2 linked regions of the Rhinolophus ferrumequinum genome follow. The protein of the gene in region 2 purifies or fractionates together with the protein of the main gene of each other region. This does not show direct contact. Links are inferred from orthologs where the notes say so. Each region holds a gene or a part of one and is shown on either strand. Other genes may lie near its edges.

What was found. Proteins that work in one complex are often made in the same cells at the same time.
Region 1: the proteins of PSMC3 (region 2) and PAAF1 purify together in Homo sapiens (co-immunoprecipitation; 6 studies listed by BioGRID and IntAct, with this or other methods). This does not show direct contact. The link is inferred for Rhinolophus ferrumequinum from reciprocal best matches to the Homo sapiens genes PSMC3 and PAAF1.

The regions. Positions count from the first base shown.
Region 1 is NC_046294.1:49,005,910-49,013,806, reverse strand, and holds the start of PAAF1 (proteasomal ATPase-associated factor 1), read right to left. Parts: upstream 3,016-7,897; 5' UTR 2,972-3,015; coding exon 2,925-2,971; intron 1,380-2,924; coding exon 1,339-1,379; intron 1-1,338. Other genes in the region: cytochrome c oxidase assembly factor 4 homolog, mitochondrial, read left to right, coding at 5,112-5,366. UniProt on the Homo sapiens protein: Inhibits proteasome 26S assembly and proteolytic activity by impairing the association of the 19S regulatory complex with the 20S core.
Region 2 is NC_046294.1:13,797,528-13,805,200, reverse strand, and holds the start of PSMC3 (26S proteasome regulatory subunit 6A), read right to left. Parts: upstream 3,002-7,673; 5' UTR 2,823-3,001; coding exon 2,748-2,822; intron 2,503-2,747; coding exon 2,419-2,502; intron 1,881-2,418; coding exon 1,755-1,880; intron 1,364-1,754; coding exon 1,259-1,363; intron 1,145-1,258; coding exon 1,082-1,144; intron 825-1,081; coding exon 687-824; intron 250-686; coding exon 106-249; intron 1-105.

The DNA of each region.
Region 1 (7,897 bases), about 35 Mb from region 2:
GTGATGAAAATGTTCTGGAATTGATAGTGGTGATAGACACACAACTCTGTGAATAAACTAAATCCCCTGAATCGTACACTTTAAAAAGGTAAATGTAATGGTATGTGAATTATATCTCAATAAAGCTGTTATTTTTTTTAAATGAGAATCCTAATAGTACCTACCTCATAGGGTTCTGAGAAATACAAATATATGTATAGTATCTAGCACACAGATAGCACACATTTTATTTCAATAAAACTATTTTAAGAATAAAACAAAGAGCCCTCTGCCTTAAGAGCTGACCCTACCTCCAATATCACAAAGAAAACCGAGGCTATAGGACACTCACAAATTTCCACATCCATGCCTATGCATTTATTTACATCTGCATTTACCTTCACCTTCTTTCATCTTAGTCTTTTAGACTTCATTCAATTTCCTTCTCTCTCCCCTAAGACATGGGTATTTGTTAGTCCTTCTCTCCTCTACCTACAACCTATATTTTACTTGTTCTCCAATTAATTCCCATCTTAACAATAAAACAAAACCTTGACTATAAACCTTCGAGTTACTATCCTCTCTTCCATGCGGCACCAATTTCCTCAAAAGAAAACTGTTTCAAACTATTTCTCATAGAAATAGAATATATTATATAAAGACATCAAAGATATCTGAAATGCAAAATAATCAGTAAAACAACACATTCTCACAAACTTGGAATTTTTTTTAATGTTACCACACTAACTGCAAACAAATGAATGGGAATAACAGGAGTTTCATTTCAAGGGAAAATTGTTAAGACGTGGAAACTCTGGATATGGTAGGGTGATTCGATTTTATACTCTGATGTCTAGAAGGATGGTAACTTTAGAAATGAGAAAATTAAGAAAGAAGCCTGTTTGACAACAGAAGTGCTCAGCTTGGTTCTGGATGTGATAAACTCAAGATGACACTGAGAGCTCCAAGCAGAAACAGCTAGCAGACAACTGTTCGATCTCTGCTTGAAACTGAAGAGAGACCAGGGCTAGAGCTATAGATCTAGGAATCATCAGGAAGGTCACACTTGAAGCTATACAACTATTTAGAATAAAATAATATATAGCCAAGAGACTGTTTTAGCTGTATCAGCAGCGTCTCCATGAATAAGTTTATAGCTTCCAAATGGAAAACCAATCTGAAGACCTTCCCCTAGAATGGAGGAGATGGGGTGATGTCTGATCACAGACTGGTCAAAAACATTTGAAGACTATGAGCATTGTGCCAGGAGTTTGGGCCAGGAGAAAGTAGGAAGCTCTCTTCTAGGGGTAGTAAATCCTTTTACTCTAAAGGGAATGCATATAGACTTAAGGACATTACCTGGGGGGTGACAGCTCAGCCAGGCCTCCCCTTCATCCTTCCTATGAAGAGAGACAAAAACCTAATTAGGCTCACTCAACACAAAAGGATGCCACTGGTACAAGGGGAGAAAGAAGATCATATAATTTCCAGTTTGGCCATACTACTTAGACATGATCAAGTCCAATATCTCATCCAGTCATGTTTGTCTTATTCTAAGACAAACTTTAGTTGTTGAAGATATTTGTGGATTAAGCGTTTAATACATATATCTGTTGGTTCAATGAAGTGCAAATATTTCACCAATAGGGAGTCACTATTCATTTGTAATTGCACAGCTTTGAAAAATCGGGAATAGTTTATAAATATTTATTGGGATTATTGTAAGCCAGACCCTGTGCTAGACACTTTGCATATAGCATCATTAATCCTGACAACAATTTAACAAGATATCTTTTATTAATCCTCAGGTTAAAGGTTAAAAAAACTGAAGCTCAGAGAGAAATGACTTGCCTAGCTATGAAGCAGAAAATGAAAGCTGGGACTAGTATACAATGTCTGTGTTCTAGCACCTCAGACTTTTCATGTTTTAGAATGCACTTCCCCAATCATCCAAATCGTTATCTCAGCATCCTATACACTCTTAGAGTATAGCAGAAAAGGACTAGGCTTTTAAGATAGAAAGACATAGGTTGCCAGCAACTCTCCATCACTTATTAGCTGCATGATCTTGAGCAAGTTACTTCCTCAGATTCTGATCCTGCATTCTCCCATAGGTACCTAGTAGCCCTCAATAAATGTTAGTGGTTTTCCTTTATTACTTTTCACACATTCTGTGTTATAGTAAGTAATGTATACTTTATTTTAGCCCACTTATAGTAAGGTGTAAGTTTCTTAAATACAGGAATGTTTTATTCATCTTCACCATTGTTTCAATTTGAAAATCCTTATTAGTAATAAAAATTGTCATTCATGGCACTACTGTACTCATCCTGGTGAACGCACACTATATGATCAATAAATATGTTAAATAAATGAATGGTTTGCTGTGTATTCCCAACGAAGCTGTCAACTTGAGAGCAGGAACCACCCCTTAAGTTTAGAGTACACACTGTACTGCATGGAGCATCTATCTAGGTCAGAGTCTGGACATGGTAGGTGCTACATTGTTTAGTAGAATGGTCCAATATGACTAATATACCATTAGGGACCGAGAAGGATACAAAGATTCCATCACACAGTAAAAGACAATTACTGGTGGTGGTGAGTACTGGAACTTTTGCAAATAAATACGACCAATAAATATTTGTTAAATGACTGACTACTTGGCCTCCTGCCTCCCAGTTTTCCTGTCTTTCTACAACTCATTAATCCTAGTTCTGATGCTGGGATCACACAGCTCTGATGTGCTTCCCTAGCTTCAGGATAGCTCTTCAGAGAATGAAAAATAACCATGTGGGTTTGAGACTTCGTTTTCTAGACCCAATACTCCCTCAATAATTGATGAGGTAACCCCTATGGATATCCTGGATCGGGCATGACTCTCCTAACGAAAAGGCAACATCCGCTACCCGCCTCCTCAGTCCGGGTTCTGGGACTGGTTTCACCTGAGGGCTTGAGCCCAGTCGCTTTGAATCCTCAAAGGCGCCGCCATCTTGACCCCTCCTCCACTAGCCCGCCTCTTCCGCTCTTTCCCGGAAGTAGCGCGGGGGGCGGGAGCTACAAAGAGAGACCACCAATGAAAATGCGCGGTGGGTCCCTTCCCTTCCCTCCCCCTTCCGCGCGCGCGCTCCTGAGAGGTTGGTTCCTTCCCGGAGGGTCGGAAGAGTTCCAACTGCCTGCGAAGTGGACGTGCTGGAACGCACATTCGGGTCTTCTTGTCCGTCCGCCTGTTCGGTGAGCACTGCGTGCCGCTTCTTTGCACTCTGAAACGTAACGGGCACTACGTGGGCGCGCCCGGTGGCTGCGCGGGCGCATGCGCTCTCTCCTGAAGGTGGGAGAGGAGCTTCAGATGATTTGGCCACTTGGGTATCTTTGCTTTCTGGTTTTTTCGATGCCTTTCTGGTCCAAGCCTGCTCCCGATCCAGGTGCCGACCATCTAACCTGCCGTTATCTCTGAGCAAGGGTCTTTTTACTCCAAGGGAGGCTGAAGCCGGGATGTGGTGGGGAAAAGCGTACGGCAGCGTTTACTGAGTCCTGTTGTAGCCCATGCATTTGGCATCATTATGTTAATTCATACAGTAATTCTGCGAGTTAAATATTATCTTAAGGAGCAAACTAAAAAAGATTGCAAGATAAAGCGTGTGCTGGTATTCGAACCCGGATTTCTTGGCTTAAGATCCAAGCCACTTTTCTGTGCTTGCTCTAAGAGGTTTGCCACCTGCCTTTAAAGAGCTCACTGTGTATTTAGGAAGAGGAAACGTATAGTAATAGGACTATTATGACGTAATTTACTCAGGGTCACTCAAAATGTCAGTGACAAAGCTAGATTTCCAACCCGTCTGTTTTCAAAGCCCGTTTCCCCCCTCCTCAAGTTATACTGCCTCCAAAGCAAATGAGTTTTATGTAGGGCTTTAGCGTGTTTAAATCCTTGTGACTTCCCCTTGGCGCTCTAAGTGCGTTAACATGGCTAACAACGTCTGGTTATGATCAGATACTTTCTCGTTTCTTTTGTTTTCTCCTCATATTCTATGCTTCCAGTCATACAGAACTTTCCAGTCCTCTCAAATTGTTTCAACCCCCCACCCTGTTCTTTCATTGACCACCCTGTTCTTCCTTTCCATCTCTAGTTAACTCCTATTCATCCTTCAGCTGTCAGTTTATAAATCACTTCCTCCAGGAAGCCTTCCCTGCCTGTTTCTCTTGTCTGGATTAGGTATCACTCCTCCACTGTGTTCCCAGCATGAGCTCTCTGTATACAGTGTATAGTAAACTGGCTGTTTACTTGCCTAGATTGTAAACTATGAAGGCAGGAACGGTTTCTGTCCTGGTCACTCCTGTATACTCAACTCCAGCATAGTGCCTGGTACATGATGAGTACTCAGTGATGATTTGCTGAATGAATCAGAGACACAGGAAAGGCATTAAGGAATCCTAGCTCCTTTACAGCCAGTCATCGTGAAATTTATACAAAGGCTGAGGCCATTTCTCTTCATCTCTTTCTTAAGTTCCTTCTTTATGCTACCTTCTGCTGGGTATTCTGAAGTAGATGGTCTTGGGAAGACAGTCTGGGCAAACACACTTCACATGAAGTACTCTTACTTACCTCACAGACTCGTCTCTTGCCGGGGCCGCTGCATGCTGTATTCTGTAGCCACACAACTCTCTCCATTCCACATGTCAAACCCTACCATATTTGGGTACTCTCCCAAGTGTTAAATTTTGTTCTTCTCAAGCCATAGAATAAGGCCAATAGAAGAAGGGAGATTAGTTCTTTTGAGGGTGAATCAGAAATAGCTTCTCCAGAAAGGTGATATTTTACCCAATTCAAATTCTATTAGAGGAATCCATTCGAGCTTATTTAGTGCTGTGCTAAGCATTCTCACATGCTTTGCTTCATTCCATTCCGTTCAGATCATTTTGCAGGCCTATTCTCTGCCAGGACTAGTGCTGGGGGCATCAAGTTGAATCAGGCCGATTATCTGTCTGCAAATAGCTTACAGTCTCCAAAGGGAGACATTTGTATACATAGGCCATAACCGTGCAGTGTTCAGTGTTACTTATAAGAGGAACCTCATATATAATCATGTCCCTACTCTAACCTTGCCTCCATTGATGTCTAGAGACTCCCAAAGATGTCAACTCAAGGCCATACCTGGGCCCGACAGGTGAAGAAGGAGGGTGAGGAAGAGGACCCCCTGGACCAGCTCATCTCCCGTTCTGGCTGTGCAGCGTCCCACTATGCAGTGCAGGAGTGCATGGCCGCGCACCAGGACTGGCGACAGTGCCAGCCACAGGTGCAGGCCTTCAGGGACTGCATGAGTGAACAGCAGGCGAGACGGCGGGAGGAGCTGCAGAGGAGGAAGGAGCAAGGCAGTGCCCACAGCTGACACCCCAAACCGTCTGTCCCCAGAGCATGGCCTGAAGAAACTAGCACCCAGCGAGGTCATGGGAGGAAGAAATCCTAAACTGGAAGTGTGGGCCAAGAGGTATAAAACTTGGGGATGGTCTTTGGGACTGAGGTTGAGAGCCAGGTAGCCATGGGTTTGCACAGGACTGCCATCAAGAGCTGTCGGATTTTCATGGCGAGATCCTATACATCCTTACCCGTCTTGTTGCACAAATATGAAATACTGACCAATATTCACCATGTAAAACACAGTGGGGTTAAGGGTTGCTCTGCTAACCTCCATCTTGGATCGGTGTGCCAAGTACTGAGCTGATACGTGGACATTGAATTTTGCAAGTATATTTACAATCTAAAGGTAAATTGGCTATCTATTCAGGTCTTCATTTCTTCAGTCTTTGGTTCAACAACAAGTTTTTCTGAGAACTTCTCATGTTCTAGGCACTGTTAGAAGCTGATGTGATGAATAATGTGATCTTTGCCTTCATGTTGCTTAGTCTAGTTTGAGAGACAGAAATAAAACAACATTGGAACTAATTCCTGCCCAGTGATATAAATGACTTTATCTTTCACAAGTTGTCCTGGATGTTTCATTCAGTCTAATGGAAGGAAGAAAGCAAATGGGAAAATAAACAAACTGCCTCTTCTATGCCAGAGTCTGTCGAATTAATAGATGCAGAGTCTGACCTTTACACACTCCCAACCCAACACACACACAATGTTGGTTTGACATTTAAAAAGTACATTTAACATAAAATACAGATTTTTCCACTTTTAAAATAGAGAAGTTGTCATCATGGAGCTTCAATTCCTACTTGACAACAATTTGCTAGAGCTGAATAAGGTTTCTCTTTTAGGTGGTTGTGTTCTCTGGTTAACAGTAGTTGCCACCATTTCTCATTTTGTTTCCATGAAACCACATTACCCATTATATTACTTTCTGCCTAGCCCTGTAAGGATTGGGAGTGGCGAGGGAGTTGGGGGAATGACCCCTGTCATAGAAACTGGGATCCAAAGGGACATTCATCATCAGTAATATTTCGTGTGTGTGTGTGTGTGAGAAGCACAAATGTGAAGTATAATAGGCCCTAATACTACTTTTGTGTTGGTATTTGGGGAGAAAAGAGAAAAGAGGGGAGAAGATAGGAGGAATACCAGTTGAAAGAAAAATAGAATCCAATTTCAGCTTTCAAGTGGAAGGGAATGACTGGGTGTATACTGTGTTTCCTCGAAAATAAGACCTACCCTGAAAATAAGCCCCAGTTAAGATGGTCAGCCAGACGGGCGCATTTAGTATGTTATGACGATGTTCCAGAAGATGATGACATGGCTATTTGAATAAATGTAGATTGTTGTACATGAAAAAAATAAGACAACCCCTGAAAATACGCCCTAATGTGTCTTTTAGAGCAAAAAGGAATATAAGACCCAGTCTTATTTTCTGGGAAACATGGTATATAAAGATGAATCTGTTCAGTGCTGTAGGTCATCAGAGGGAGTAGTGTGGATTAGAGCTTTCAGCAAGAATCTCAGAGAAGAGAAGGGATTTAGTTGAGTTGAACCTTTAAAGATAATACCCATTTCTATCATAACGGGAAGGATTACCAGCTGGAACAAAAAGTACCTAGAAATCAGAAAGAAAAAGCAAACTACCCAATTGAAAAGTGAACAAAGTTAAATATGCCCCCAAAACAGGAAAATGTAAATATATTTCACATCACTGATAAGAAAAATGCAAAATTTAAAAACAGTATTATTAGCTGATCCTCTTGACAAAAATCAGAAGTATTTATAATGACCAGTATTGGTGGGGATGGAGAGAAACACACATTCACGCTATTGAAGGGATCATAATTTAGTAAAGCTTTTGGAGGGCAATATGGTGGGAGCTATAAATATTTTAAATATTTAAACAGCATTTATTAGGAATCCTCTTAAATATATTTTTATAAAATGTACCATGATGTTCATTGTGTATAAGAGTGAATAAATGGTCACAGTGTGACCGTCATTCCATCAATAAGGACTATATTTGCTTACATTTTTAAATCTTTTACAACAGGAACGTATCTATATATTAACTTGTATAATTAAGATAGAAATAATAGGCCATGAGGTGGGGAGAGTCTAGCAGAGAAGATGGGTAGAAGGACCTCCTTAGCAGGAGGAATGGCTTCCAAACCAGCAAAGTGGAGGGAGCAAGTTTTGGAGGGCTCCGGCCCTAACAGGGAGCTAACACTGGGTGGGTAACAGTGTATTTGGGCAAAGGGTGCTCTGTTGCCACCCAAGCCTCTTTCCTCAAATACATGGGGATAATTCCTACTTGATAGGTACATTGAAAGAATTAAATGAGATAATATATAATAAATATTGTTAGCATTTATTGAGGCTTTACCTAACTTATGGAGCATTTAACCCACGTTGTCTGGTTCCAAAGTCTGCTCTCAATCCCTGTTAGGTGCTTTCAAATCCCACTATGCCACTTACTAGCTGGGTGATTTGGGGCCAATTACT
Region 2 (7,673 bases):
GGGGAGGATGGGGACTGAGAGTCAGGCCAGAGCACGAGAGGTCCCTTGGAGCCCGTACTGCTCAGCTCCTGCCCACTTCCCCCTCATCTTTCCCAAAGCACTCACCTTGGTCTGTGCAGCGCAGGCCCGGGCCAGCAGGGTCTTCCCCGTACCTGGGGGCCCATACATCAGTACTCCCTTTGGAGGTTGGATCCCCAGGTTCTCAAACTTCTCCTTGTGGTTCATTGGCAGAACAATGGCCTCCACCAGCTGCCAGGAAGAAGTCCTGGGTGAGGAGAGTGAAGCCCTAAGGGCTCCTACAGCCCAACATTTAATGGCTTCAACCCCAATCTGCAACCCTCCTGTTCCTGCTCAGGGATACTGCCTCTCCTTCCCCCATATCAAGAGAATGCAGAATGTTCACTCCCACCAAGGCCGACTAAGGTCTTTCCAGCAACAACAGGATATGGTGGAAAGACACTGAACATTGAGTTCCAGTCCTGGCTCTGGCCCTAACCTTCTACGACCCCAGGCACGTCCTTCAGTCTCTCTGATCTTAGTCTCCTAAACTGTTTCACAGCATCCTTCTTGCCTCCCTAGGGGGACTATGAGGATAAGAGGCATATTAGAGGGAAGTGCTCTGATCAATGAAACAGAAAAACACAAAAAGCTGGCGAGACTGGTGGTGGCTGCCACGCCTCCCTCACCTCCTGAATCTGCTTGTCCAGGCCCCCAATGTCACTGTATTGTTCTGTGGGTCTCTCGTCCACCTCCATGGCCTTCACCCGTGAGTCGTACTCTGTAGGCAGGGTCTCCAGGATCAAATAGGAGTCTTTGTTCACACCCTGGGGGCAAAACACAAAGCCTTCAGATTTGTCCTAGCTCAAGGCCTAATTAATAGGCTGGGTAACAGGTGTTTATAGAGTGAAAAGAATGATATGGGACTGGGCAACACAAGATTCAAAGAGCAGATAGACAGGATCTCACTCTCCAGGCTGCTCTGCCAAGATTCAGGACCAATAGTAACCTGGGCCTGGGTGAGGGGTTCAGTGGGAGAAACCTCATTAGAAAAGCTCTGCTTCGGCTCGGGGACACCACTCACCACCAAATCTCCCGGCTTCAACTTTTCAGCATCCACCAACCCAATCACAGGCAGGAAGTATGTCTGTAGGAAAGATTCCAGAAGCAGTCTCAGTTACTGCCCTCAGTAAGGTTCCCCAGTCCTTTCCCCACCCATGCCTCACCCTCCTCAGTTCTCCTATTGTTGAGTCAGCCTCACCTGCCGTGTAGAGGTTTTGATCACTGCACATTTGCCCTTCCTCTGTGAGTCCAAGTCAATATTGGCACCATCCTCCTCTTGGTCATTAGGATCAACATCCAAAAGCTGGAAAGGGATAAAGCTCAGATCAACAGGCCCTGCTCAGCCCACTGAACTCCCCAGAGCCAGGTGCTTCCTGGGCTGAGAGAGTCCCAACACCTGCAGGGCTGGCCATCCCTACCTCACTCCTCAGACTAGCCCTGAGCCCAGCAAGTGCAGCTGATCAACCAGGGGACTGAGAACATCTCTGGTTAGGTGTTGCTTCTCTGCCCCGAGGAAGAATAACCAGTAGAAAAGAAGACGAGTGAGGTTTCTGAGGCCTTTCTGGGCCCTAGAAGGGGTGGCCCAACATGCAATTTGGGCCTCAAAACTTCGACCACTCTTCCCCCAATGGCCCCATCGCCGGCTATCTCCAAGCCCCACTGACCCCTCTCTTCCCCTCCACATACACACACACCTCGATGACGTTGGAGACAAGGTATGGCAGGGTCTTGTTCACTTTGATTTTCTCACTGTTCTCTTTGATCTTGTCCTTCATAGCTTGAAGCTCGTGGGTTACTCGTAACACTTCGCTCTTCATAATCTGAGATGAAGGTGAGTGGAAGCCAATGTTCAGCTTTGGCTTTGTTTATCCCAGGGCCTTGTAATTGGTGAGGTCCAGGCTGCCCAGGGGACCCTCCCGCATCTGCTCACTCAGCTCTTAGGCTTTGTGAATGCTGAGCCTGACTACACCCACGTCCGCAGAGGTCAAAACAGGAGGCCAGTCTGGAGACCTCCTGATGAAGTAATTGTAGTAGAGGGAAAAAAGCAGGACTTTGAGTCAAACAAGTACAGGTTTTAGGCTCTGCCTTTCATTAAGGACTGGGTACTTCACAATAAAAACCTCTCTGAGCCTCAGTTTCCTCATCTATAAAATGAGGATTTCCTAAAAAGATTTCCGAGAGGAATACTTGTAAGACCTAGTTGAGAAAGGCAGTCTGATGATTCCTGCTCACATAGGCCTGGTCTCCCAATAGCCTGTCCCTCTTCTGATCTCTCTTAAGGCTTAGTTTTCTTTTCAATTTCCTGGTTCAAGGAGGAAACCGCGTCTGGGATAAGCAAGGCCTGCCTTGTACGCCCACCTTGATTTCACTGTCCAGCAGCCGTGTGCGCTGGATAATCTCTTCTGTGGACATCTTGAGCACCTCCTCCCCGATTCCATCTTGCTGTTAAGAAAAAAAAAACTTTTTAAAACTCAGGGCAGGTATCCCGCTTTCTCCAAGCTCACTTACAGCCTCAGTTTCCCCGCCCATAAAACTAGAATGAAGCAATCGGGACCCTTGCCCACATCCCAAGGGGCCCTACTCTGGGATCGGGCCAGATCTTGGTCCCCAGGCACCTCCTCCCTTCCTGCCAAATGCGTCTCCCCACTGGCCACGACTCCAGGACCCCCAGCTCTCCCAGCGCCCACCTCAGCCTCATCCCACACGGTCGCCATCTTCTCCTGCCGAGTCACGCTACTCTCAACTTTCGGCAGCAGATTCATTTCCTGGAGGAAAAGGCCGAAGATCGGACTGGGAGGAGTGGCGGGAAATTAATATTGTCTTTCTTAACACCACCTGTTGACTAGTGGCAGACCTCTTTCTTCAGGTCCTGACTCTTGACCAATTTAGCGGCGCGTTGCCATAGCGAATCTGCTTCTCCGATTCAAAAGATGAAGCGCGGGCCACAGGACCCGCCCCCGCGGCTACTGAAAGGTTCCCGCCCTCGTCCTGTTTTCGCCCGGCGCTAGGAGTGGGTGTGTTATTGGCCGGCGCCAGCAGTGGGCGGGACCTGGATATATAACCGGAAGGGACGGGGAAGGGACCGGAGTCGCAAGGGCCCTTGGGAAATGTAGTCCTCGTCGTGCTCGTAACTGAAAGGGTGCTTTTGAACGGGTGATTCAATCTCAGAGTCTGGCCCAGTTAGTAATTAGGGGATTCGCTCTGCCTCCCAAACCATAAACAACATATGCCAGCCGTGTGCAAAAGGCAAAAAAAAAAGGGGGGGGGCATGACACCTTAGACTGCATTTTTATAATTATTATTTATTAAAATACAACCTGGTCACCTTATTAAAATACAACCGGGTTACCTGAGAGCATCATTAACTAGTTAGTTTTAAAGAGAGAGATCACTGCTGCCACTAACTTCCGAGCAGGTGCCACAGAACTTCCCTGTGGGAAGAGAGCTCAATTGGCAATCAGCCTCTACAATTAAAAACATTATGGGGCCGGCCCGGTGGCTCAGGCGGTTAGAGCTCCATGCTCCTAACTCCGAAGGCTGCCGGTTCGATTCCCACATAGGCCAGTGGGCTCTCAACCACAAGGTCGCCAGTTCAATTCCTCAAGCAACTAAGATTGAACACGGCACCTTGAGCTGAGCTGCCTCCCGGATGGCTCAGGTGGTTAGAGCACGGGCTCTCAACCACAAGGTTGCCAGTTCGATTCCTCGACTCCCTTAAGGGATGGTGGGCTGTGCCCCCTGCAACTAGCAATGGCAGCTGTACCTGGAGCTGAGCTGCACCCTCCACAACTAAGATTGAAAGGACAACAACTTGACTTGGAAAACAGGCCTGGAAGTACACACTGTTCCCCAATAAAGTCCTGTTCCCCTTCCCCAATAAAATAAATAAAAAGTAATTGAGGTTAAAAAAAGAATGAATGTATCAACTTTACCCCCACATCTGTAATCATTTCTTTTCATCTCACTGAGTAGCAGAGATCTCTTTGGATCTTATGAGACTCATTTGCTGCACTTGTGTCCCCTGTTTCTAGAGGATCTCTACTTAACCCTCTGAGGTGAGGCCCAGGGCACTCCTAAAATGAACTTCTTGTAAGCCATGTAACATATTTTAAGTCAAACCAACATCGATAGACCCTAAACGTGGTGAAAATCTATCCACTGTTTTTCTTGGAATGCAGTTGAAGGCATTTCATTTGCAGCTGCTTGCTTAGGCTGACAAAGCACCCTCACAGATAATAGTATGTATTCCATCCTCTCAACCGCCCTGGCCTGTGGACAGACTGAATTATCATTGTCAATGTTATTAGATGAGGACGTGGAGGATCAGAGAGGTTAAGTGACTTGCCCAAGGTTGTTCAGTGAGTCAGTGTCAGCACTGGCGCTGCCAACTCCAAATTCACACTTTTCAGAGTTGCCTGACAGGAATCAAGAAGCCCAGTTGGGGAGGGAGCTGTCCTGTCTGTGCTGGTCTCAGCACACCTGAGGCAGGTGCATCCTGCTCTGGGGCCTACATTTGGAGATCCCAGCAGATAGGAATATGTTTAGAAAGCCTCCAGTCTGGGCCTGTGATAGGTGGTGGCAGGCCAAACTTTAGACAGGCTCCTCTGAGCCCTCTTTTCCACTAGTCTTGACCTTGGGCCCTGTCCTTGGGTCCTGTCCTCAGCCTGCCTCACCCAGTTTTAGCAAGAATCCTGCTAAGTCAGGTTATCAAGACCCCCTGATCAAGTTCCTCATCTCTCACCTTTGATATATAAATCCTTGGCCTGCCTTTAACAAAAATCCTGTTAGGCAAACTTAGCAAGAATCCTCCTACTGTGATATCTCCGCTTAGTAATTTTCTATCCACTGAACCCTCACTGTGCTTGTTGGCTATAAATCCCCAACTGTCTTTGCTGTATTGGGAATTGAGTTCAGTTCTATACTGAATTCTCTATCTCCTATTGCAATTGACACTTCTCATTACCTCCATGGCCTATCACTCCGATTCAAACAAGCATCATGTCTCACCCAGATTATTGCAGGGGCCTCTTCGTTAGTTGGCCTGCTTCTGCCCTAACATTCCTGTGATAGTTAATTTTATATGTCAATTTGACTGGGCCATGGGGTGCCCAGATAATTGGTCAATCATTATTCTGGGTGTTTTTAGATGAGATTAACATTTAAATTGGTACATTGAGTAAAGCAGATTGCCCTCTCTAATGTGGGTGGGCCTCGTCCAATCAGTTGAAGGGATGAATAGAAGAAAAGGGCTGACCCTCCCCCAAGTAAGAGGGAATTCCTCCTGCCTGACTGCCTCGAGCTGGGATCTTGGTCTTTTCCTGTCTTCGGCGTCAAACTGAAACATCAGCTCTTCTTAGTTCTTGAGCCTGCCAACTTTCAGACTGGAACTACATCCTCCTGGACATCAGGCTTTCTGACTCAAACTGGAACTAAACCATCACTATTCCTGGGTTTCCAGCTGGTTGATTCACACTGCAAATCTTTGGACCTGCCACCTGCCAATTCCTTATAGTAAGTTTTTTCACATATCTATATCTACATATCTGTATATCTATGTATCTATATCTACAGAGGGTGCCAAAAATATATATATGCACATTTTAAGAAAGGAAAACTACTAACATTATAATAATCAATATATACTGATAACAAAAGATGAATACAAGTCATGTTTGACTTCTGCAATTACAAGAGGTACTCTAAGTGGTTACGATCAGCGTCCAGACACTTCTGATTATGGCGAACTATTGCTTGAGCAACGTTGACCAAAGTGTCCACTTGTATACTTTTTTTTGGTACCCCCAGTATATCTATATATCTATGTCTATATCTTTATCTATATCTACATCTATATCTATATATCTATACCTGTATATCTATCTATATCTGTCTTCTATTGGTTCTGTTCCTCTGGAGAACCCTGACTAATGTACTTCCTAAAGTCTGTTATTTTGAAGAATGTTAAATACATTAAAAAGTTAAAAGAACAGACAATGAGTACCTGTATACCTTTCACCTAGATTCACCATTTGATCACATTTTGCACATTTGCTTTTTCTCTGTGTGTGTTTTTTTCTGAGCCATTTCAAAATAAGTTGCAATGTAGAATTACTGTTGTACACCTGAAACTAAAATAATATTGCATGCCAACTATACTTTAATTAAAAAGATAAGTTGCAGATGTCGACAAAAAACATCCAGCCTAAGAGAAAACATGTAAGAATTTATTTGAGCCAAACTGACAACAATTGCCGGAAAGCAAAATCTCAACAGTTTGAGAAATGCTCCGCGAAATGGCAGTTTGTAGCTTACTTTATACATAGAACCAAAGGAGGAAGGTTACATGGAATCCACTGGTGATAGATTAAGGGGGTGGGAGAAAGCAAAGGGGGCGGAATCTCTGGGACTGGATAAAAGCCAATTGGAGAGACAGGTACTTCTTTCACATAGGTGGGTACAGGACAGTTAATAGTTCACATAGAGATGTTAATCAAGGGACAAGAATAATAATGAGGGATTCTGTACTTTCCTGCTCTGGTCCAGAAAAAGGGATTACAAACATTCCAAGGACGTCATTTTAGGTGCAAAAAGACAATAGACAGGCCCTCGTAATGGCACAGATTAACTTTATGAAGGAAGCTTTTGGCTAAAGATATGACTTCCTACCATGGCCCACTTAGTTATGAAATTTTTTATGCTCACGCCATTTTATGTGGTTATTTTCAGTCTCCTGAGCTTGTCAGGTTTAACCTGTAGCCCCTCTTCCGTCCTCACAGACATCATGACACTTCACCTCTAAATATTCCAGCTATGTCTTCTAAGGATAAAGACATTCTTATATGTAACTATAATACATTATAGTCTAATTCATTGTCATACCTAAGGAATTGAATGTTGATACAATAATACCTAACAGAGTCCATATTAAATTTTCTTCAATTATCCTGAAAACATCCCTTACAGCCTTAAAAAAACTTCAGTAGCAGGTAGAGGATCACACAGCATTCAGTTGCCATATCCCTTTAGCCTCCTTTAATCTAGCGCAGTTCCCCGTCCTTTTTTGGTCTTTGATGACATTGACATTTTTGAAGCACCCAGGCCAGTTGTCTGGTGTAGTCTGTTTTCAACACAGCAACCAAAGGAATTCTTTTAAAACCTAGTGAGATCAAGTCACTCCTCTACTCAAACCCCTGCAGCAGCTGCCTTCTCATTCCGAGCAAGAGTCCTTGCAATGGCCCCCAGGGCCCTGGGTGTTCCCACTCCCCTTTGAATTGCACCGGGACCTGACTCCACCTCCCTTCCTCCCCGCCCACAGCTACAGGCCTCCTGCTGCTCAGGGACCAGGCCAAGCCTGCGCCAGTCTAGCACTCTATTCCCTTTTCCTGGAATGCTCTTACCAGGACGTTTGCTTGGTTCACCTCCTCACCTCCTTCAATTCTTGACTCAAATGCCTCCTTCTCATCCAGGCCCACCCTTACAACCTGTTAAAGCTGCAGCCCGCCGCTCCCTGCCCCAGCCCTTCCCCAGGCTCCTAGTCCCCTTACTACTCTTTTTTTTTTTTTTAAATTACATATTTTATTTTGAGAAAAACTTCAAATTAGAGAAAAGTGGAA